Drosophila melanogaster: one gene and its partner. The protein of the gene in region 1 binds, or shares a complex with, the protein of each later gene. Each region holds a gene or a part of one and is shown on either strand. Other genes may lie near its edges.

What was found.
Region 2: ver (region 1) and moi share a complex: the UniProt entries of both Drosophila melanogaster proteins name them as parts of the MTV complex.

What each region holds. Positions count from the first base shown.
Region 1 is NT_037436.4:12,518,331-12,528,702, forward strand, and holds ver (verrocchio), read left to right. Parts: upstream 1-5,656; 5' UTR 5,657-5,740; intron 5,741-6,096; 5' UTR 6,097-6,110; coding exon 6,111-6,755; 3' UTR 6,756-6,820; downstream 6,821-10,372. Other genes in the region: tral (trailer hitch), read left to right, coding at 108-337, 400-740, 814-821; Gcn5 acetyltransferase, read right to left, coding at 3,016-3,545, 3,608-4,260, 4,315-5,573; eIF2beta (eukaryotic translation initiation factor 2 subunit beta), read right to left, coding at 6,824-7,347, 7,656-8,055, 8,259-8,273; nst (nesthocker), read right to left, coding at 9,301-9,402, 9,472-10,372. UniProt on the Drosophila melanogaster protein: Part of the MTV complex that associates with the HipHop-HOAP complex to form the terminin telomere-capping complex involved in telomere maintenance and prevention of telomere fusion.
Region 2 is NT_033777.3:18,249,963-18,261,132, forward strand, and holds moi (modigliani), read left to right. Parts: upstream 1-5,567; 5' UTR 5,568-5,653; coding exon 5,654-5,850; intron 5,851-5,909; coding exon 5,910-6,249; coding exon of another isoform or gene 6,250-7,646; 3' UTR 7,647-7,715; downstream 7,716-11,170. Other genes in the region: CG18598 (uncharacterized protein), read left to right, coding at 1,182-1,316, 1,382-1,516; CG12320 (uncharacterized protein), read right to left, coding at 1,598-2,737; Polr2D (RNA polymerase II subunit D), read right to left, coding at 3,076-3,250, 3,313-3,493, 5,355-5,418; Ada2a (transcriptional adaptor 2a), read right to left, coding at 3,592-4,354, 4,413-5,274, 5,355-5,418; Tgs1 (trimethylguanosine synthase 1), read left to right, coding at 6,246-7,646. UniProt on the Drosophila melanogaster protein: Part of the MTV complex that associates with the HipHop-HOAP complex to form the terminin telomere-capping complex involved in telomere maintenance and prevention of telomere fusion. Potentially functions downstream of mei-41/ATR.

The DNA of each region.
Region 1 (10,372 bases):
AAGGTAAATCTTCTTCTTTATTTATTGCTTGTTTAAGTTCAGTTTAAGTAACATTTTCTATACGATCGTTTTAAGAGTTACTCACTATTTGCATCATCTGCTTGCAGCTGAATGGCGAGACCGACAAGAAGGATGATTCTGGCAACGAGACCGGCGCTGGAGAGCACGAGCCTGAGGAGGATGATGTTGCTGTGTGCTACGACAAGACCAAATCGTTCTTCGACAACATCTCGTGCGAGGCTGCCCAGGATCGCAGCAAGAACAAGAAGAACGATTGGCGCCAGGAGCGCAAGTTGAACACGGAGACCTTCGGAGTGTCCTCCACACGACGTGGCAGGTAAGTCCAATCGAAGCAATCAAGCAAATGCAGTGTGGCTCATCAACTGAATGTATTCCAAGCAGTTACCGCGGACGCAACCAATACTACAACAATAATGGCAACGGCGGCATTAACTCGGGATATGGAGGAGCGCCAGGCTACAACAGGAACAATTATCGCATGGGTGGCGGCGGCGGAAACTTCCGAAACAGGAGCAACAATCGCAACAACGGCGGCGGTCGTGGCGGAAACGGAATGCCAAACATCACCAATGGCAACACGGCTGCTGCGCTGAAGGCGGCCAACAATGCTGCTGGCCACGGATCCAATGCCACGGACTCCAGTGCACCAAATGCCACAACCGCGACGACAAAGTCGACGTCCCTCTTGCCAGAGCAGACGCAACAGGTGGCGGCAGTTTGTGAGTAGCAATTACATCTAAGCACTTCATTTGCAACATGTTTGTTTACATGTGTGTCTGTTTACTTTTGCAGCACAATAGTGCCGCCCGGCCAGTGGAAAGCCACTTTAAATATACACCAACCACAACCAACAAACCACAAATTGATAGATGCGAATTGAGAAGAGCGTAAAGTAAATATCCTATTCATTGCAAAGCTAATTATTCGAAGCAAACCAATCAAGTGACCCGAACGATCGACGACACACAGGCTCTTATTATCAGGAATTTCGAGTTATGGATCCAGCGGCATAATATATTTGTATAATTAAATTAGTGTTACAATTCTCACGACGTCCTGGGGCGCACTCCGCTGCTGCCCGCCCACCACCACCGTGTGCTTGGCGATGATAAGCGCTCTACGATTCGATTAATGATTAGCGACTAGCGCGAATGTGAATGTGAATGTGAACCGAACCGAACCGAACCGAACCGGCCATGTGTTAGGCTTTGTGTAAATGGCTGGTTCCAACGCCTTGCGCTGAGCAAAAAGCACGGCATTGATAAGAAGGAGCAGATAATGGCACGCCAGCATACATACATATATTTAGTAAGAACATAGTTAAGCATAAGTATGAAAAGCTACAAAAAACAAAACAAAACGAAAGCAACCATTTAGCAAGGAGAGGAGCAAGGAGATTTGGCGGAGGAGCCGATAACAACAATAATGAAATTAATGGAGTAAACCAATTAAATCCATGGAATTCCCAAATCTAAAATAAAAGCTAACTTAATACGTTTTTATTTGAATGAAAGAGTAACAAATCGATTGTAATATTGTATTTCTTGTGGGCGTAAAACATCGACAAACGCTCGACCCGTTTTACTAGCATTTAAAACAACTATTATTTAAGAGCATTTTAAACATGAAAAAAAGAAAATAAAATCGGCAGCTACGCGCTTCTATCAAAAGCACAATTGTAAAAAGTCAATCCAGCTCAGCTGCAATGAATGAATGAAGTCTCCCGAATGAAAATGTTAAACGAAAAAACCCCAACAAAAAAAAAAAAAGAAAACAACCAATCATTAGCAAATTTGTCCAAAAAGAAAAGCCCAAATTTTCGGTTTTCGTACAGTTTATTTTCTCTGATCTCGGTTGGGCAAGGGAAATTATACTTACGATTCGAATCGATTTGAAAAGATACGATACCTATGGTGATGATGTTCTCAATGTAAATGTTAAGATTGATTGTGTGATTCACTGGCTGCTGCGCTTGAAATCGAGGCCTTCAAAAGCGAGTAAAGTACGCGTATCTCCAGCTGAATCCCTTTAGATATTTGTTTGTTATCCTTGTATCCAGATATATATTTGTATTCAGCACAAGCCCAGTCCAGTTTGGCCAGTTAACACGCTGGCAGAGAGAAGAGGGATGAGGATGAGGATGAGCTGGCGGAGTCACCACAAACATTTCAATATTATGTAATCATAAATTATGTATCTAATTGTATGTAATATGTATATCTCCATATATGCTCACTCTGATTAGCTCCACATATGTATGTTTGTATATAAATACGCAATTATCGAGTTGAACACTGAAAAGAAAGCACGTTTCGCAAGTAATGGCTAAATTGTAAAGACTACCACGTATGGAAATTAAAAACTAAATATACCATGTAATAAAGGATAATTGAATTCAAGCAGTAAGCAACTACGGTTAACATTTTCATTGTACCATCGGCATATCCACGATATCCTTTGCCATTTCCGGTGCAGCCTTGGAAAGGATGAAACGCAGATGTGGAGCCACGTATTTATGTATGCATGAGCCTTTGTACAATGTCCTAGAGATTCGATTAAACTCCCGCCCCTAAGATATAATTTTATAACTGAAATTATTTACTAAACCAAAATAAAAACAAATGAGAAGAACTCTAACTTTAAAAGCATGCGAAACAATGAATGTAGGAAATCAAAAGTGAAATAAAGAGTTAAGACAAAAACGTAGTGGTTACACATCATTTGACCAGCATTGGTTTTGTCCACTGGATGAAGGGAGAGTGGGTGGATTCGTGGTTAATGAGTAGGCGATAGATCTGATTTATTCTTCCCAAAGACACAACGCGTCTGTGAACAAGACGGACACACTGAGCTTAACCTAAGTATCTATAACGACAAACTAACTATATGGGTTTTTCTTTAGCTGGGGAGAATTCTAAAAATAAATAGAATTAATATAATAATTTAGTTCGATTAAATGTTCGGCCTTATGCAGGGCTCCTCGGAATCACTGCATCATTTGTCCCACAGCCCCAGCTCGCGCATCTTGGTCTGGAAGTAGCGCTCCAGGGAGTTGGCACACCGATAATACTCGGTGTCGGGCGAATTGTAGAACCGACAGTTGGAGAAAATGCGCGCCATGTCCGCCATGAACAGGCGGCGCGTTTGGTAGTAACCCTTCTTCAGGCGCTCGCCCATGGTCTTCAGGTCCATGGGATATTTAATGTGATCGTAGTAGTCCGGAACTTCGGCCGCGGTCACCGGGCGCAGGAAGGGCCAGGCGGTGGTGTGCTGGCGCACGGATTGCAGCACGGATGCAAAGGACGTGGCCAGCTTCTCCGGATCGGTGGATTCCTCGAGGGGTCGCGATGAGCGCGCCGGACGATTTTGCGGCTTCCAACCGATCTCCCGCAGACCAGGAATCGATTCCACGGGAATCACGGGCAGGCCCTCCTTGAAGCAAGTCAAGCCGGGTCTTACTTTCTGCACCTCGTTGTGGCGCTGTGCGATCAGCTCCTTCAGAATCTCGCTCTGACTGCGAATTACTGAAAGGAAGAATTGGAGTGTAAAATGGGACCATGGATTCCTTGTCCATTCTTTGACTAACCAGCTATGAACTGCGTGTTCACAATGCTTGGATGCAGCTCGCAGTGCATGAGAGTAGCACTATCGTACTCCTTGATGTAGCCCGCATAAACTGGTCGCGCCAATTTGATGTCCTTGGAGAAACCCTGCTTCTTGAAGTACCCGATGGCATCGCAATCGGCGAATGTGAGCAGATGCTTGATACCCCTCTGTATGCTGTAGTCCTTCAAGTGGTTCATCAAGTGCGTGCCATAGCCCTTAACTTGTTCCGACATGGTGACCGCGCAGAAAACGATCTCGGTGAAGCCTTGCGACGGAAACGGGCGGAAACAGATGCCGCCGATGGGTTGGTTTTCCTTGATGAGCGCCAGTGTTTTGTGCTTGGTGTCGAAAACCAACTGGCTGATGTACTCGCGCGGCATCTCGGGTAGCTGATAGGCAAATACGAGCTGCAGGCCCAGTAGCCACAAAACAGTCTGCTTGTCCACCGGTTTGGTCAGCGAATTGCCCACCACATGGAACTCAATGGCTCGCTTCTGCTCCTCCGCCTTGACGTTCTCATCCCGCGACACATTAACCGGAAAGAGAATTTCCGCTTTGTTGGTGGTCTTCGACTCGGACACCGATTTCATGGCGCGCATTACTACATCCGCAGGCAGGTCATCCAAATTCTCACTGCGGCAGGACGATTAGTAAATGTATTGAAAGAAGAAAAAACTGATTACCAACCTGCTTGGACGATCGGTGGGCTCCTTTTTGATTCGCTTGTGGAGCGGTTCACCCACACTGGTCCTCTTGTTTCCACCAATGCTTGCTGCACTGGGACCAATGGGTACATTTGCCACCTCCTGGTTACGCTTTCTCTGCTGGATGACAAAGGAATTTGACGGGCGGTAGCTGGTATCCCAGATGGGCGAATCATCCTTGAGCAATTCGGCGCGAAGCGTTTCCAAAAACTTCGGCATCAGCGTGATGATCGAACGCTTGTCCTCGGGAAAGCGATCCCGCTCGGAGATGCACTTCTTTTTCAGCTGCTGCGACATGCACTGGAAAACGGTGCGCAGGAGCGTTCGTCCAAACACTAGGGACGTTTCACATTGGCGCAGGGAGTTACAGAAGGCGGGCACGTGGCAGAACACCAACCACCTGGTGTAGTTGATTTTGTAGTTAGAGGCATCCTCGTGGGTGAGATCTCCTCTCCTGGTCGACGGCGATTCAAAGTTGTAGTGGTTCAGAAAGTTCAAGAACGTCTTGGCCACCTCGGTCATGGTTTGGAGTTCAGGCGTGCTCAGGTGATTGTACTTGTAGAAGACCAACGAGAGCACAGCCTTGGTGATGCACGGCGTCTCGAATGGTGGATCGCCGAGAGGACCCCGGATGACCGCCTGCTGGCGCGTGAGGACGCACTGGCGCAGCAAACGGAAGAGGTACTGGTACACCTTCTTGGTGTCCTCGTCCTCGACGCGCTGCATGGACATGAATAGGTTCTCCATGTCTATAATGGCGCCCAGTAGCTCGTTCATGCTGGAACTGGATATATTGTCCAGATGGGCTATGTGCGATCTCAGCGAATGGCGACAGCTGGTGTTGCGGCACTCCTCGTTGAACTCCGGACAGTAGGAGGACTCGACGTCACGGTGGCGATTTTCCTGCGGTGTCTTCCAGCCGGTGCAACGGCATCCCTCAGACTGGCAGGCGGAATACATCGACAATTTGGCCAGTTTCTGTGGCACGGGCAGATTGAAGACCTTTTGCTTTCGCTGCTGAATGCGCTGTAGGCTGTTCTGGCGCGTTCCCTCTGCCGGCACACTGCCAGCGCCGGACGCAGCTCCTCCGTGTCCTGGATTCTGGGCGCTGCCAGCGGCTCCAGATGCACCAGCGGTTGCTGCGCCATTCGCTGCCTGCTGCTGCTGTTGCGCCGCAGCGTTGCCCGTGTTGTTACCATCGATTGGTTGGCTTTTTATCGTTATGGATGGACCACCAGACATTCCAAGATCGGCAGATATTGCGATTCTCTTCGTTAGTTTTGAACAAAGTGTACTTTTCCTTAAATTTCACAAGCGATACAACGAGTTTGCCCACTTGCTGTGCGCAATGATGGTGCTGCCAACCTGGCGTTTTGTGCAAATGAATTTCTCTCGGTGGTGAAATAATGGTTGAATATATATATTCTATTAACGATTTTACGTTTGTCCATATAGTGTATACTCGTATTATCTGGTGACAATGTTTTTAGACTTTGAATTTAATAAGTAAAAATTAGCAGGGGCGTAGTCAAAACAACTGAAAATTTGTAAGGGGGTTAAAAAGAAAATATTGCGCGGTTCTGCAAATTAATGTGACCCTGGTTTTAACTTATAATACAATTGTGTGAAAATTGCTCACAAAATTAATTTTAATTAATATTATTTGTAAGAAAATACGAAGTCTACGCCCATGCTCACAACTGTTTTTTTTTTTGGCGCTAATGCAAAATGCACTGCAATAAAGAAATCCCCTTTGAAATCGCAGACTAAGCAAATAGAATGGATTTTAATCAGAGTTTCGAGGACATAGAAAGCCAGCTGGATAACTTCGTGATACGCAAGAATCAACAGAGTGAAAAGTCCACGGGCAAATGTGGTCCGGAGGTCCACGACAACGTGCCGCTGACCATATCCCAGATTGAGCGCGCAACTCAGGATCCGGAGAACGAGAATGTGTTCATCACAGACGACGTGCATCCGATTCACTTCTGCACCTGCATCATCTACGCCTTTGTAACTGGCAATGGAACGCACAACGAGTCGTTCATGAAGTTCATGATCGATGATGGCACCGGCTCCCTGGAGGCCAGCATCACCAAAAAACCCTTCAATGGACGCGTGATCAGCAGCCTGTACAGTGAAGCCAGTTCGCTGGCCTCGTCCGAGGCCTACAAGAGCATTGCCGTGAGCATGATGCGGCTGCTGCAGGTCTCCATGGAGTACATTGATCCCACGCGCATCTCGAGGGGCCACAGCCTATTCCTGCGCGGTCGTCCGAATAGGTTCCGCGGCAAGATGGGTCTGGACGCTTTTCAGTTCTTCATAGACAGCGGCCGATCGCGGAATATGGAAATTGGCTTCGTAGACTACCTAACCGACTGGCAACGAAGGCATAAAACAATGCAGAATACAACAAATAAATAGTATCGTTGGTTTTTTGTATTGAAATTTTACTGGTAATAAAAATTCAAAAAGTTTTAAATAAGGAGAATTTAGGTTGTTTTTGCTCGTATGGCGGCACGTTTGCCGGTGACAGCCTGGAAACCTGACTTAATGCTGGCCACCGAGCAGCGGGAGCCACAGGATTCGCACTGCAGGAAGAAGAGACGCGTGTCCTTCTGCAATATCGTTTCCGGGGAGCGGCAGGTGTGACAGGTGACGTACTCCTTGATGTAGCGACGCAGCACATTCTCGATCTGTTTGGGCTGGAAACGGCCCTTGATGATCAGCTGCTGGTTGCCGTCCATGGAGCCACTGGTACCCAACTCGGCCAGCAGGAAATCGAGCAGATGCTTGGGCAGGCGATGCAGCGTTTTCGCAATGTCCATGAAGTTGGCAAAGGAGGTCTTCTTGGTTCCCACGCGCAGCACCTGCGGCGGTCGCATCACGAACTTTGGCTTTCGGCCGGCGGCCATGTCCGGATTCTTGTCGAGAATGATTTCGAAGACCCGCTTCAGCAACTCGTCGTATGTGTAATCGCGGTCGGAGCCAAACCAGGTTGAGCTGTTGTCCTCGTCTGTAAACGGATGAAAACGTTATTTAAAAGGGTATGGTATAAGCTTATTTGCTAAGTGAGAGCTTTGAAATCTGGAGTCTATTTAAAGTTGGAACAGCTACATGCTAACTCACTGGCTAAGCATTTCTAGTTCACTTCATACACTGAGTTTTAATGCTTCGGAAAAGGCGAAAGCCAAGTTATACACTTTAAGAATCGTATAGCTTTGCCTTTGTCAAGTGACAACAAGCTTATATGGCTGCCAATCTTGGTTGGGATGATTCTATAACCCTAAGCTTCCCTGGCTGCTCTGCAATTCGTCACCGTACCGTTCTCTTTGTCTTCGCTCTTGTCGTCGTCCGCTTGGTCCGCAAACAGCTCGTCCAGTTCCTTCTTCTTGCTCTTCTTCTTCTTTTTGGCCATCGAGAAGTCCATGTCCAGATTGATCTCCTCCTCCTCGGGCTCCTCGCTGGCGGCCACATCATCGCCGCCAAAGCTGGGTATGGCCGCTTCGATTTCGTCCATGTTGAAGGGCTTCTTCTTCTTTTTCTTCTTCTTGCCGAAACTCTCCAGATCTAGATTATCCTCCTCGGCGGCGGCACCTCCTTCCGCCGATGCCTCATCCTGGGGATCCTCCTTCTTGGTGTCATCCTCCAGACCCAATGCCGCGTCCAGATCGAACGTGGTCTTCTTCTTCTTCTTCTTTTTCAGCAAAGTGGGATCAAAACCCTGCGAAAATCATTGGAATTTCAATATGGTTTAAATCCGGATCAAGCAAACATAACCTCAATGTTCGCCCAGTTCTCATACACAAATGTGTAAATACACACATACACATACGCAAACAAGGGCGCACATGTACGATAATATGCGAATTTTCCACGCAAGTTTTCCGCGTATGAAACGCACTAGCCGGTGTTCCGGGAACTTACGTCTTCCGCGTCCATTGTGTCTGGGCTGTTTGAATACTAGTTGACTGGAAACTAATTTTGTTTTAACTAAAAAAACTGCAATTGCATCAGCCAAAGTGACAGCACGGCAATCAGACGGTGTGACCGGCTGAGTTTTAGACGAGTAAACCATCCGGCATGCGAAAATATACTTTTAATACCATTTGCATAGATATACCGAGTATTAATAATATTCAAGTAAAACTTTTTTATAAACAATTGCTAAATTAGTTAGCTAAATTAGATAACTTTCGAACTACGAACAGTTAACATTCAATAACTCAACTCGACTTTTGAACGTATGCTTTAATTAACACAAGTATAACAGTTTTGAAGTATTTGCTTACATTGTAACAGTTAACAGTAGTCCTTATCAATTACTGTCCTACATGTCTCCGCTACTGACCGCCAGATGGCGCGTTTCAATTCTGCCAGCTCCATTAACATTTATTAAAATGTTAAGTTTAAAAATAAAAGTTGGCAAAATTTTAATTTATTTGCCGGGACAGTGATTTAAATTTGCCATAAATTGTGCGTACAGCATAGTAAATTCCAAATGAAGTGAAAACTGATTTATATTCGACCTAAAGTAAAAGGATCTTTAGATTGTTTAAAAAATACTTTTATAGAAAATAGCAATACAAACTTGATTAGGTTCATTAATCTCTACTATCAATTCTTTTATAATTTCAATAGTTACCGCTAGCAGCTCAACAAAAAAATCAACGTAGCGGTTGCATTTTCATTAAATTCTTCAATTACAAAATAGCGAAGGACATAAAATTGCAACTTTCACAATGTACATATGTATAAATAAACTTGAAAAGAACTTTATAAATAATGGCAAAAAATATGTCATCTTTAGAACACAAAAGACAGTGAACATTTGCAGAATAAATGCGTTTGAGAGTTAAGTTGTTTTTTTTTTAAGTTATTGAGCACCTTAGAGTAAAGAGATTTATTGCTCCATCCAGGATCTGTGTCAATTGTCGATTCCCGTGAGAGGTTAGTTCGTCATTCCGCTCTACAGGTGGGCACTGCTGTTGGGCTTCGTCAATGGGGGGCCAACTCCGCCGGCCAGTTTCTGGACCAGCAGACCCACTTCGTAGGCAAGATTATCGGTGTCCTGTCGTAAAAAAAAGATAGTAAGTAGAGTGTTTTGATCTAGTGCTAAGAGTTAACTTATAAGCCTTACCTCTTTGGTGGCTGCTTCGGCATAGACGCGCACCACATCCTCGGTGCCCGAGGGGCGAACGAAGGAGCGTCCCCGCTTGTATTTCGCCACCACCTGGTTGATTTCCGTCTGCAGACCTTCGGGCTTTACGCACACGCGTTCCGCATCCGTCGTCTCGATGACATTGCGATCCTGCACCTTCACCTTTAGCTGTCGGTTGGGCAGATCGTTGTACGACGAGATCCAATCCTGGACATCCCAGCCCTTGTGATTTAGGATTGTTTCCACCAGCAGCATGTCGGATATGGCATCGCCCACGGTCTCGTTGATAAGATCGATGAGCAGCAGCAACGTCTTGGCACTCTCCTTAGTTTGGGCCACCTGGGCAATCGTCGCCTTAGCATTGTCACTGAACACAATCGTTCCGTGGCCATTCGCCTCGAAGTAAACACCAATGTCGTACTCCAAGGCCTTGTGGTGCAGGTGCTTCACGCCCGTGGGTACGCACGAAACGGGAAACTTCAGCTGGTCCACTATGTAGTCCGTGGATGCACCATTGGCGTAGGCAGTTTGCACCAGGCCCAGCCGTAGGCTAATCTCGGATTGTGTGACCAGTTCCATGAGATAGCCGGCGATTAGGGTGGCTATGCGATCGCCATCGAGCAGATGGAACTCACCCTTGTCGTCGGTAAAGAAGTACACCACCCGATCGGCATCGCCATCCACGCTGACGCATCTCGTGTACGGCTTCACATCCTCGGGCATGGATTTCGGCGGACTTTGCTGCACCTTCACGTAGTCGGCGCCGCAGTCCTCGTTGATCTTGCCGACACCGATGCCCTGATTAATGACCGTCACGTTGAGGGTGCCCTTCATGCGCTTGATGAACTGCAGCATCTTGCGCGCACCCACACCGTTGGCA
Region 2 (11,170 bases), on another chromosome or scaffold:
TATCTGTAGCGTGTTTGCGTGATTAGCGAAGGAAAATAGAATGATGAGCTGTGCAGAAGCTACGGGAGAATTTTCGCACGAGCTTATTCGCAGCTCTTTCGCATGGTTTTTGTTTTTCGCTTTTGGTTGTTTTTTTTTTTTTTTAATAAATTTAATAAATGAGGAAAGAAGGCAGACTAATATTTTGCAGTCGCTGAATAGAAAAGGCCCGTGCAGAAAGTTAATTAAGCATAAATCAGCCGAGGCAGCAAAAACAACAGCCACATTCTTGAACGTAACAACAACAGCAATACAAGAAACCAGCAGCTAAAACTGACATTCGTATTCATTTCAAATAAAAATCATAAAAACAAAACAACAATTGGGCAACACAATTTATTATTAATTGAGTTTGGGGCTCGTGTTTTTATGGGCTTGTTTAAATGGTCACAGTCAATCATAGAAAGATTGAAAATATAGAAAGGAACCGAATGTTTTCCTTATCGGCACGCAGTTTCTCTATTAGTTTATTAGTTTTTTTTTTGGAAGTCGACCATAAATAACAATAAAACTAGTTTGTTTTACATTTTGACGGATTTATTTTAAGTGATCCTTTCAATCATGCATCTTTCTTGATTTCACGCGTTCAGTATGATAGAGAAATTTTACATAGTTTTTAAATGAAGTTTTCAATAAAGATTTTCAAACACATTTTCTTCTATCATTATCATTTGCTAATCAAGCATAGCTTCGAATCGAGATCAATCCCACATTCAGTTTTTAATTATTAACCAAGACTTAGCCACAGAAAATGAAGATTCGTACCTGTCAATGCATCCAAAAGATGCGAGCTTAGAAGGCGCACTGCTGCTGCTCAGAAGAAATATATGTCAAACTAAATTCTGTGGTCATCGGAAAATACAAGCAGGCAGGCACATAAAGCGACAGCGCTTCTGCGTCAAATCAGAAGTGTCCACTTAAGCTGAATGTATAGCTGGGCCAGAAGCAACACGAAAAGTGGGTCTAGTGGCCATTGTTTTCAGTTTGCTGATGTGCACAATGGAAAAGCCGTGTGCATACAGATACAAATACTAAGATATCTATATTTAAAAATCTGGACAACAGCTGGAAGAGGCGAAGGTAAGGAAACAGCAAAGGGCCCGAATGCGGTTTAGTTGCGAAACGTTGCTCGAGTCTCGGAGATGGCACTGCAGCTGCAAATTGAGAAGCTCAAAGGTTTGGACAACTACAAGGCCTGGTCGATGACGGTGCGGGCGTATCTGGAGTCGGAGGAACTCTGGACGGTGGTGGAGAATGGTCCCGAGAACAACGAGGAGGTGAGTGATGGTGTGGCGCCGTTTATGGCTACAGAAAACCCATGTCCATGCCATACTCCTTGCAGTCCCTGCTAAAGGACAAGCGGGCCAAGTTCTTGATTCTCTGCCTGATCGAGACCAAGTTGTGCCAATTCATGGTCAGCATCCGCACGGCTCGGGATCTGTGGAATTACTTGCGCACCCAGCATTCGCTGCGTTAAAGTAGAAATCAATATAGATCAGTTTCAGTCCATTGTATTACAAATATATGAATTACACTTCACATGCGTAGCGCCCTTCTCCTAGGCTTCCGGAAGTTCGATGACTACAGGCTGGTCCTCGGGATCCTCGTCTAGCAGGCCCTCGAATTCCCATCCCAATTTTTTCTCCAGCCGCTTAGTTAGCCGCTCAGCGCTGACACTTAAGCCGCCCGCATGCAGATTGACCAGCAGTTCGCGTACATCTTTGTAGACGGTGTTATGCGGACCAGGCACCATCAGCTCCTCGGGCAGATGGGGCAGCTGGTGGGCCAAAACCTCGCTGTATTTCATGTACGTTAACTTGTGCTTGGTGACCGCCGTTTGCGAGTGAGCCAGCAAGCCCAAAAGCTTGCGCCAGTGGGCCAGAGACTCCACAGAGTAGCCCACTAGGAAAAATGCGTAAGCCAGCTGCAGTTCCTCAATGAGTCCATCGGCCGTTTCAAAGCCTTCGAGCAGTTTGTCAACAGCATCGATGCAGTCCAAGGCATGGCGGGAAACATCAGCGGGCAGGGCATCTTGTGGAACACGCAGGGGTACGGTAGTGAAGCGCGGAGCTGTTCCTTCCACGGGCTTAAGGTCCGGTAGGAGTTCGCTCTCATCTAAGAGAATCCGAGCTGCAGCATTCCGGCGGCTTATGCTGACAGTAGCGGCTCCACCTCGCGGCCGATCTGCGTCCGGGCAGGATTGCAGTTCGATGTTCGTACGGATGGTTCCTTCTGTCGGACGGCAGCGATCCACGCAAGACTCCGTCACGCTGCCGGTGAGTTCCTTCCACTGGACCACGTAACGATAGTCGTACGGCGCCAGCACGCGCTCCAGTTGGGCTAGGTTTTTGCGTATTCGGTCTCGCTCCACTTCCGGTTCGGCAATCCTCCGCGGGCGCAATTCCTCCAGTTCGTGGTCCCACTCTCGTACGACAATCTCATTCGGATGGAAGAAGTGCACGAATCCAACACGAGGGGCTGCATCGCCGTAGGGACCACGGGAGGAGCACCATACGTAGTGGACTCCGGGTGGAATCATCTTGACGCCTCGGAAATCCGGACCAATGGTGTAGGCACAAAGATCAATGCCGAATTCCGTGCCCTCGGGTACACCGGCGATGACCAGCACTCCGCCATCAGCCAGGAGGCGTAGGGCTAGCTGCGGATCCATTTTCATGCTGGAGTTGTCCTTGTTCATTGTGAAATATTGTTCGCTTGCAATTATTAGGAAAAAGAAAACAATTGCAAGTGCGGGCCTTTCAGCAAGTTGCCAGATGTGACGGCTATTTCGATAAGTTCTTTCATGTGAGCAGTCTGGCAACACTAGACAAACAATTCTTTCAAGCGGCAAATTCAATTTATATATACTTTTTTTTAAGTAAATCTTTTGTTTGATATAATTACATTGTATTTAGACTTTGTTGATTTTTGTTACAGTGTATATTCTGCATTTACTTAAAATTCTTGCTGTTCTTCACTTTATTGTGTAAGTGGACCATGACTTTATATCTAAACTATATTTATACGTAGTAGTAATTAGTATTGTAAGCTGCGTTTAGTGCCGATATCGTCGAGTATTTGGCGCAGCTCCTCATCCTCGAAGCGACCCTCTAGTGAAGGAATCAGCGCCTTGGCCTCCTCGGGCGCCTCCGGACACAAATTACCCAGTGCCGCCAGTTCGAATTTGTGCAGCTTTTTCTGCATCAGCAAGCTGAATTTGAAATAATTGAATATTACTACTCGTACGTGCTTTGTTCGGTTTTGCTACATTACCTTCGCGCAGACATTATGGTCTCCTTGTTTTTGAACTTTCGAAAACTATCCGTGTAGGCGTACGTCTTCATGAAGACCTCGGAGAACTCTTGCTCCTCGTCGGCGGATTCGTTTTGTCGCTTTCGGTGATCGAGAAGCATGTGCACCTCCGATATCAGCAGCGTCTCGGCATTTTCGAACTCTGAAACAAAGAGAAACGAAAGGGTTTTTTTTTCTTGAATTAGTTACTTGACGACATTCAGGAAATTTACAAGTGAAACATTGGAGAAAAAATTAGCCCTAGCCATAGGACGGTGGTCTGCTGATATGGCCATGTTCCAGCAGAAAATCGTAGATCTGACGCGTTTTGTTCACGTCAATTTTGATGAGACGTCGCGCATCGGCCAGTCGTAGATATCCGAGCTTTGCTTGCTCCGTAACGAGTTGATTCTTGTAGTCCAAATACGACTGCGGAACCAGACGAGCCACACTGCACAACTTTCGCTCGCCATCATCCAGTTTGGAGTAACCAGGCAGATCTGGGATCAAAGAAAAATTATATTCAGTTGGTGTCAGGCAATGAGTAAAGTGTTTCCCACCTCCAATCTCAATGGGACTGGCCTTTCGACGCGTGTTCATCACATATAACTTTGAGTTAATGGCCAGGGGACCAGGATCACCGCTCCTGTTGCTCTCGTAATGCTGCACCAATTGCTGCCAGTCGAAAGCATCTGTTTGCTTCAGCCTGCTGTAATCTCGCTGAGCCTGCTGACGTTCTTTGCTCAAGCGGGCATATAATTTGGCTCCGGAAAGAGTTCGAACGCCGTGCTCCCGCAGATCGTATAGCTTGTGCAGCTGGCTATGCAGCTCCCGATAATAACGCAGAGACTCCAACAGCATATCGAACTTAATGGGGTCAGGACAGATCTGCATGAAGCCCAAGAAACGCATGCAACTCGCATCGCTGCCAAAGGCGTGCACGTACTTGGAAATCCAGCTGACGGTGCGATTGGGCATTATGAGACCGTGTTGCCTCATTATCTTGTAACGACGCTGGCGCTCTCTGTGAGTAAATATGCATATTAGATTTTTTTTAGTAGCTTTCTGTTATAAGATCATACCTGAGGCGATTGTTGTATGCCCGAACTAGTCCGAGTTGCAATTCCTCTGTCACTTCGCGCTCAAACTCACTCTCAGACGCCTCGTTGTCGTCATCCCTGCCCCTATGATCCACCATAATAGATAGCAGACTCTCTGCTGAGGTGTCGTACGGAGTATCGAAGTCTCCTCTTGCACAGCGGTAACCTGCGCTTAGTCTGAACTGCATGGAGGCGATGTCGTCATGACGTGGTGGATCCAAGCTGCGCATTTTGAAGACATACGGCATTCGCTCGGGCACATAGCTGTCCCTCGCATGCTTCAGATTAAGGAGCCGCTCGAATATCCCGCCAAAGTAGCAATCGTGGTAGTGACGACGCACTTCTGCGGGTTCGTGGCGCTGGTCCAGAGCCTGGGAGACCGCCTCCCAGTTGCCATAGCCGTGGGTGCGAAGTGTTTTCAGCAGTATGCGCTCGTCCCGTGCCGTCCAGTGTGGCTCATCGGCGAAAACCTGTATGTTGTCGCGGACTATGATGTAAGCGTGGTTATTGCGGTGAGAAAAGGCCTCCTTTCCACGTGAGAAACATTGCAGGCAGAGCAGGGTGTCGAGGCACTCGGAGCACTTAATGTACGGCTCTGTGAGACTGCAGCGACATGTGGCACACCGATTGGCATCCTTTGTAGCCGATGGAACACTGCTATTCTGGTCCCGCGTCTTTTCCTCCATCTCCTCCAAGTACCTGTGCAACGTGTGCGGATTATACAAAACCATGGAGTTCCTGGTGTGTTCATTCTGATGTGCATGGATGAACCGCTTAACCTGTGGCCCCAGTGGCTCAACTGCAAAGAGGCAATTCAGTGTGGTAAAAATGTGGAGGAGTGCCACTTTTGGGGCACTCGAAGCCAAAGGTTTCAGCCAGTTTCACTTGTAAGTTGCATTTCGGTTGGTGTAGGGCGTTGGTTACCTTTGGGAAACTGCAGGTCGGCGGCGTCCTCATCCACCATATCCACGGGGTTCATAAAAGACATAGTGAGCTAAGAACTGCTCAGTTTGTTAAAGTTTATATTAAGAAATTCTAATTTGCACAATAAAATGTCGCTGTTTTTAGTGATGAGAAAGGCAGGGCTATAACTGGCGAAGAAGCTATCGATAGGTGGGTCGCATCGTGCGTAGATACGTTGGTCACACTAGCAAGCATGTTGAGTTTATCATTCCGGGTGTTTTGATTTTGTTCGGAATTCTTGGTTTTTTTCCAAGAGAGTTATGTCCCTGGTGCCAGAAGCCTCTACCTCGAGAGCGCCCAAGTACTGCTACTTCTTCAAGACCCTGCTGGTGGAGGAACTGGAGCTGGAAACTTCCTACCACAACCTGCACTACGGTCAGTGCGCATTAATTGGACGTCTGGCGTTCAAGGCGAATCAGTACCGCCTAGAAAACGTGCGCGTTAAGTGTTTGCCAAAGTAAGTTTTTCTATATTACCTATCCATCCGGTCCTTACCAATGATGCTGCATCTTTCAGGAAGTACTCCTTGGGCGAGGGCACCGTATCCTTGCTTATTCTTGGCCTTACCCATGACAAAGTCGTCGAAAATCGCGTGAGTACCGGCCGCTACTGCATTGTGCGTGGTGAAGTGGTGCTACATAATGTGCAGCATCCCAAAGGTGCCAAACTGACCGCCGGCGGTGTCTACGACAAGATCAATAGTCTGTCCAACGATCCGTTGGCCCAAAAACAGTATCTCAGCGCGCTACTTGCCACCTACAGACCGGCCATCGACTTATGGTACATCCAGGTCATCGACAGAGCCGAGGACTTGCTGACTCGCAGGCTGGAGATGAGAAGTCTGATCGAGAAATGAACACACACCACCTGACCACCTCGCGAACCAATCCGCAGTTCTATATATTCAGTCAGCTCTTTGGTAACGATTTCGACTGGAATAATTGCAATTGGGGGGGCATTCAAAACGTTACCTGGAAAGAATTCTGGCAGCGTGAGGGGCATGAGCTGCTCGAGCAAAAGTGGCACAAGCGGTTTCCCGAATACAAAGATCTTATCGAGGTGGTTTCGTCGGAGGAGCAAGGCCTTTGGCAGGAACTGTGGGAGAAGCACGCCAGCGATTACAGTGAAAAGTTCTGGTATATATTTAGCTGTGCCTTTGAGAACTACCAACACGATTTGGCCAAATCATTTGGCCTTGACGTCGCTGAAAACTCAGAAGATGTTGAGGAGGACTTGCAGAACCTAAGCCTTACAAATAAGCCAATAAAATCGAAACAGCAAAGGGTCACAGAGAAAGAGGAGGACGAATCATACTTGACTGCCAACGACGATCCCGAGGATTGTGACGAGGAACAACAGCTGCGCCTTCTCGGATTGCCAACATCATTTGCGTCGAAGGCAGATATAATTAATTATAGAAAGGAAAGAAAGACACAGTACGAACTATCTAGCAGCGATAGCGAGGACGATCATGATCTGTTGACCATGGAGAACAACGAAAACGAGGCTCTGCACGGCGTTCAGAGCGGTTCTGTTAAAAAGAAAAAACGACGGCAAAGGCAAATAAAAAAACTCAAGGCCAGGATGCCAGAGTGCATGCAAGAGGATAACAACAAAATGGTCAAGTACTGGGTCAAGCGATTCTCGCTGTTCTCCCGCTTCGATCAGGGCATTCGGCTGGACCGCGAGAGCTGGTTCTCGGTGACACCCGAGAAGATTGCCAAACAAACGGCCCGACGACTGGCCTGCGACGTGATCGTAGATGCTTTCTGTGGATGCGGCGGCAATGCCATTCAGTTTGCAAACACCTGTGGACGCGTAATTGCTGTGGACATCGATGCCGAGAAGTTGGCCATGGCCAAGCATAATGCCGGCATTTATGGTGTGGCCCATAAGATCGAGTTTATCCACGCCGATTTTCTGCAGTTTGCGGCCAGCACAAAGCTGCGCCCAAATGTGGTTTTCCTGAGCCCTCCGTGGGGTGGTCCTGACTACCAAAAGCAGGCCACCTTTGATATCGAAACAGGTCTCCTGCCCGTGGGTGCTAGCCAACTGATGCAGCTGTCCCGTAGCCTGGCATCTGACGTAGCTTTCTTTCTGCCACGCAACGCCAATATGAAGCAGGTGGTCGCTCTAAGTGGAGTTGGGCAGCAGTGCGAGGTGGAGCACAACTATCTGGACACCCGAATGGTTGCGCTCACTGCTTATTATGGTAAAGGAATCATAAAGGGTTCAGTGGGAGAAGATGAGTAGGATTCGATTGAGAGTAATTTTAATAACATCATTGTTTTTATATAAATAAATATATTTAATTTCATACATATGTATAGTTGAATGGATTTAAAAAAAAAAACGGGCTCATAATTTCATGGCATTTTTTGCTTATTATTAGATATAAATCATATTCAAAACGAGCCAATAACATAATATGAAAATAAATCTATGAAAGGCATTTTAACTAATATGTAATACAAATGATTTGGTAAGTATCTTTAATTAAACTCGAAGCATATAAGCACACAGAGTTCACAAATTCCTGTAATTATGGATCAAAGGAAAATGTTGGCTATGGTCAACAACTTTTTTGTTCATTGTTTATCGCCTTAAGTTTTTCCCTCTTTTTGCCACATAGAAAGATAGGAGAAAAGTTGACTAATGAATAAAGCCGCCTCACATGTAACGCAAGAGTAAAATCTTTTCACCCATCCCTTCAGTGCAGTGATTGTTGCCAAGTGACCGGCGATGCCAAAGAGTCCAAGCTCTTTAGCCAATTTAGATGGCTTAACAAAGCTCAACTGGCCAATGGTCAATGGTCATAACCATAACGTTCCGCAATCCCTTCTTGCAACTGGCATTGGACTTTTAATTAAAACGCAAAAGGAAACAAAGCGTGCGTCAATTTTTAAGAACTTTGTGCCACAAGTTGTGACTTGGCCCAAAAGCCATGGAACACAGGCAGCCAGCCGCATCCTGCTGAACCTGGCAACGTCGGTTCGGGGGCAATTAACATGCTCGTCTCGCGGCGCAGGCAGCAGTTCCTTCGGCATTCCACAGCAGACGGCAGACGATGAGCCGGAACCAGAAGCAACAACCCTTTTCATGGCTTACAGCTTACTTAGCTCTTTCGGATGGGGTGCGTTCGCTTGAAGGGGCTTGTGGTGTGGCCAGTGGGCGGTGGGCGGGGCATGTGCGGAATTTATAGCTGCCAACTGGCAACAGAGATATTTACCCCTTCCTCCATTATCCCCCAACCCCGCGCCCCAACCAGTTGCGGCAAGTGGCTGCTCCTTTCCACTGCAATTAGTTTGATTAACTTATTAGTGTGCGTCGGAGCAGCTCGAGCGAAATTTGGAGCATTCTTTCCGGCGCTGATTTGTGGGCTGCCTTGCGAACGACGGATTTTAGTGGGAAGTTGGTTGGAAAATGGCAATATTTTGACAAGAGTAAGGCGAATATTCTGAATATTATAGTTTTTAATTGTATACAAAGTTAAATTTAAGTTAAATGTAAAGTTTAATGTTGTGGGCTTTAATAGATTTACATATGATACGTAAAATTTGGCGTATGAGTTCAGGCCAGAACTTATAGTTGATATCAGTGATATAGTTGTACATAGTATATAGTATATAGTTGTAGTATAAATATATAGAGTTGATATAGTTAATGATATCAGAAATGATGTTAAAAAAGTTTTTGTTTAGATACGTTAAAAAATAAATATAAACCAATTTGCTCTATAAGACATTTTACTAAAAGTAATGAGCATCCTTTTATGCCTTTCCTAATACATATATATTTCAGAAAGAATTATGCAACTATTTGTTACCTTTTTATACCCGTTACACGTAGAGTAAAATGGTATACTATATTCGTTGAAAACTATGTAACAGGCAGAAGGAAGCGTTTCCGACTCCGTAAAGTTGATATATTCTAGATCAGGATCATTAGCCCAGTGGATATGGCCAAATCCGTATGTCTTTCCGGCTGTCCATATGAACGCCGAGCTCTTGGAATCTATAAAAGCAAGAAAATTAAGATTGAGTAGGAGAAGATGGCCACGCCCATTAAACCACGCTAGATGCGGGGCTTCGAAAAGAGTTTCGTCTTTTTGGTCGATCTCCCTCAAACTGCCACTTGCTGAGTTTATGGTATAATAATATAATAATGACATAATGACAAAAAAAAGGAATAATAAAAAAGGAATACGTTGCCATAAGTACTATAATACACCATTTCTAATGCAAATTGCAAAGTAAGCTCGTTGCCGGTGATTAAAACTGACTTTTATTGTTCGGATTGTTATTAAAATACCGTGCAATTGGCCGTCACGCGTCAACTTTGTCATTATCAGCTACTTAAATCTAAGCCCCCTTCCGGATCCGGTTTATCCACTTTGGTTTTTAAGTCAGTAGCGCTGTTATCCTTTATTAGATACATGTAATTGCCGCTTTAATGCGGGGTTGACAATGCCAACAATTTCAATAACCTGACTGGGCGGCCTATAAAACGACTGGCATCTCGCTGAAAATATATAGAAATATATTTTATTGGAAAGCAAGCACGTGTTCACAGCTCATCTCGTCGAGCGACAAGTGGCTGCGTCCTTCGTTTGGGCAAAAAACAAATTAAGTCACCCTTTTAATACGCTATTTAATTTCCAGCGTAATGTTGTCATCCTTCTTGACAAATGGTCACCCAAAACAACGAGGTCCTTCCACCCCCCGACCGGCTGGCTGGCTAACTGGCTGTTTGATCTGTAATTTGCGCCACTTGATGATGGCCTTAGCCGGGGAATCCCGGCTCCGACTCCCATCCGCCATCCATCCGAGAGTTACTAAGCGGCGGGGTGGTTTATTTGTGCCGCAAGTTGCGACAATGCCGCAATGCGATTACAGCGTGCAGTCCCTGGGAACTGTGCAAAATGCGATTGTTCTTCTCCGGCTGCAGGTGCAGCTGCTTCATGGGCGCATCTAATTAAGCGGGTTGGGGGTTGTAAACACTCAGTAATTGCCAACTGATTTATGGCCTAATCGTGGACCAGCTCTTGGCAAATATTGATTCAAAGTTGAATTTTGGCTTTGAGGTCGGATTTTCAAGGACACCCTTTAATATAAGGAATATTCCTTACCTTACTACAATACTAATTTACTATTATATTCAACTGAAATGGTATTGCAATCCGAGAATGGTTCGATCTCGATCTGAGTACGATGCTATCCTGGCTGGATTTTAAGATCGAGATTGTTGAGAATGGCTTCTTCTTTCAATTTGTTAAATTTTATTTTAGCTTATATAATAAAGTGTTCTAATAAGTAATAAAATTAGGTATGATTTGTGTTTATTATAATTGATTATTGTAAGATTTTTAATTCTCTATTCTAAAACTGCTACGAGTTAAACAACACCGATATTTTATAAGCTTATTCACATAGATTTACAATTTCCTTATGTAAATACTCCTTTTTACCATAGAAACGTAATTATTTTATATATTTGAACCGGGTTTTTCTCGTTCACTTCCCGTCGAGACTTTAGCAAAATGGCCGAAACCCACTTATTGATTAACCGTTATTCATTTGGTGGCAGCCATTAAAATTAATAAAACGCTGCAAGGGCGGCGACAACAACAAAGGGCATCGCAACAACCACAAGACCAGAAGCAATTATATACACCAGCATCATAAAGATGAAGAAAAAGTGCGAGGGGCGGGTGGAAAGTGGGAGGGGCAGGCCGAACAGTTATCCGCCCACTTGCCATTGATGGGCAATAAAAAAAG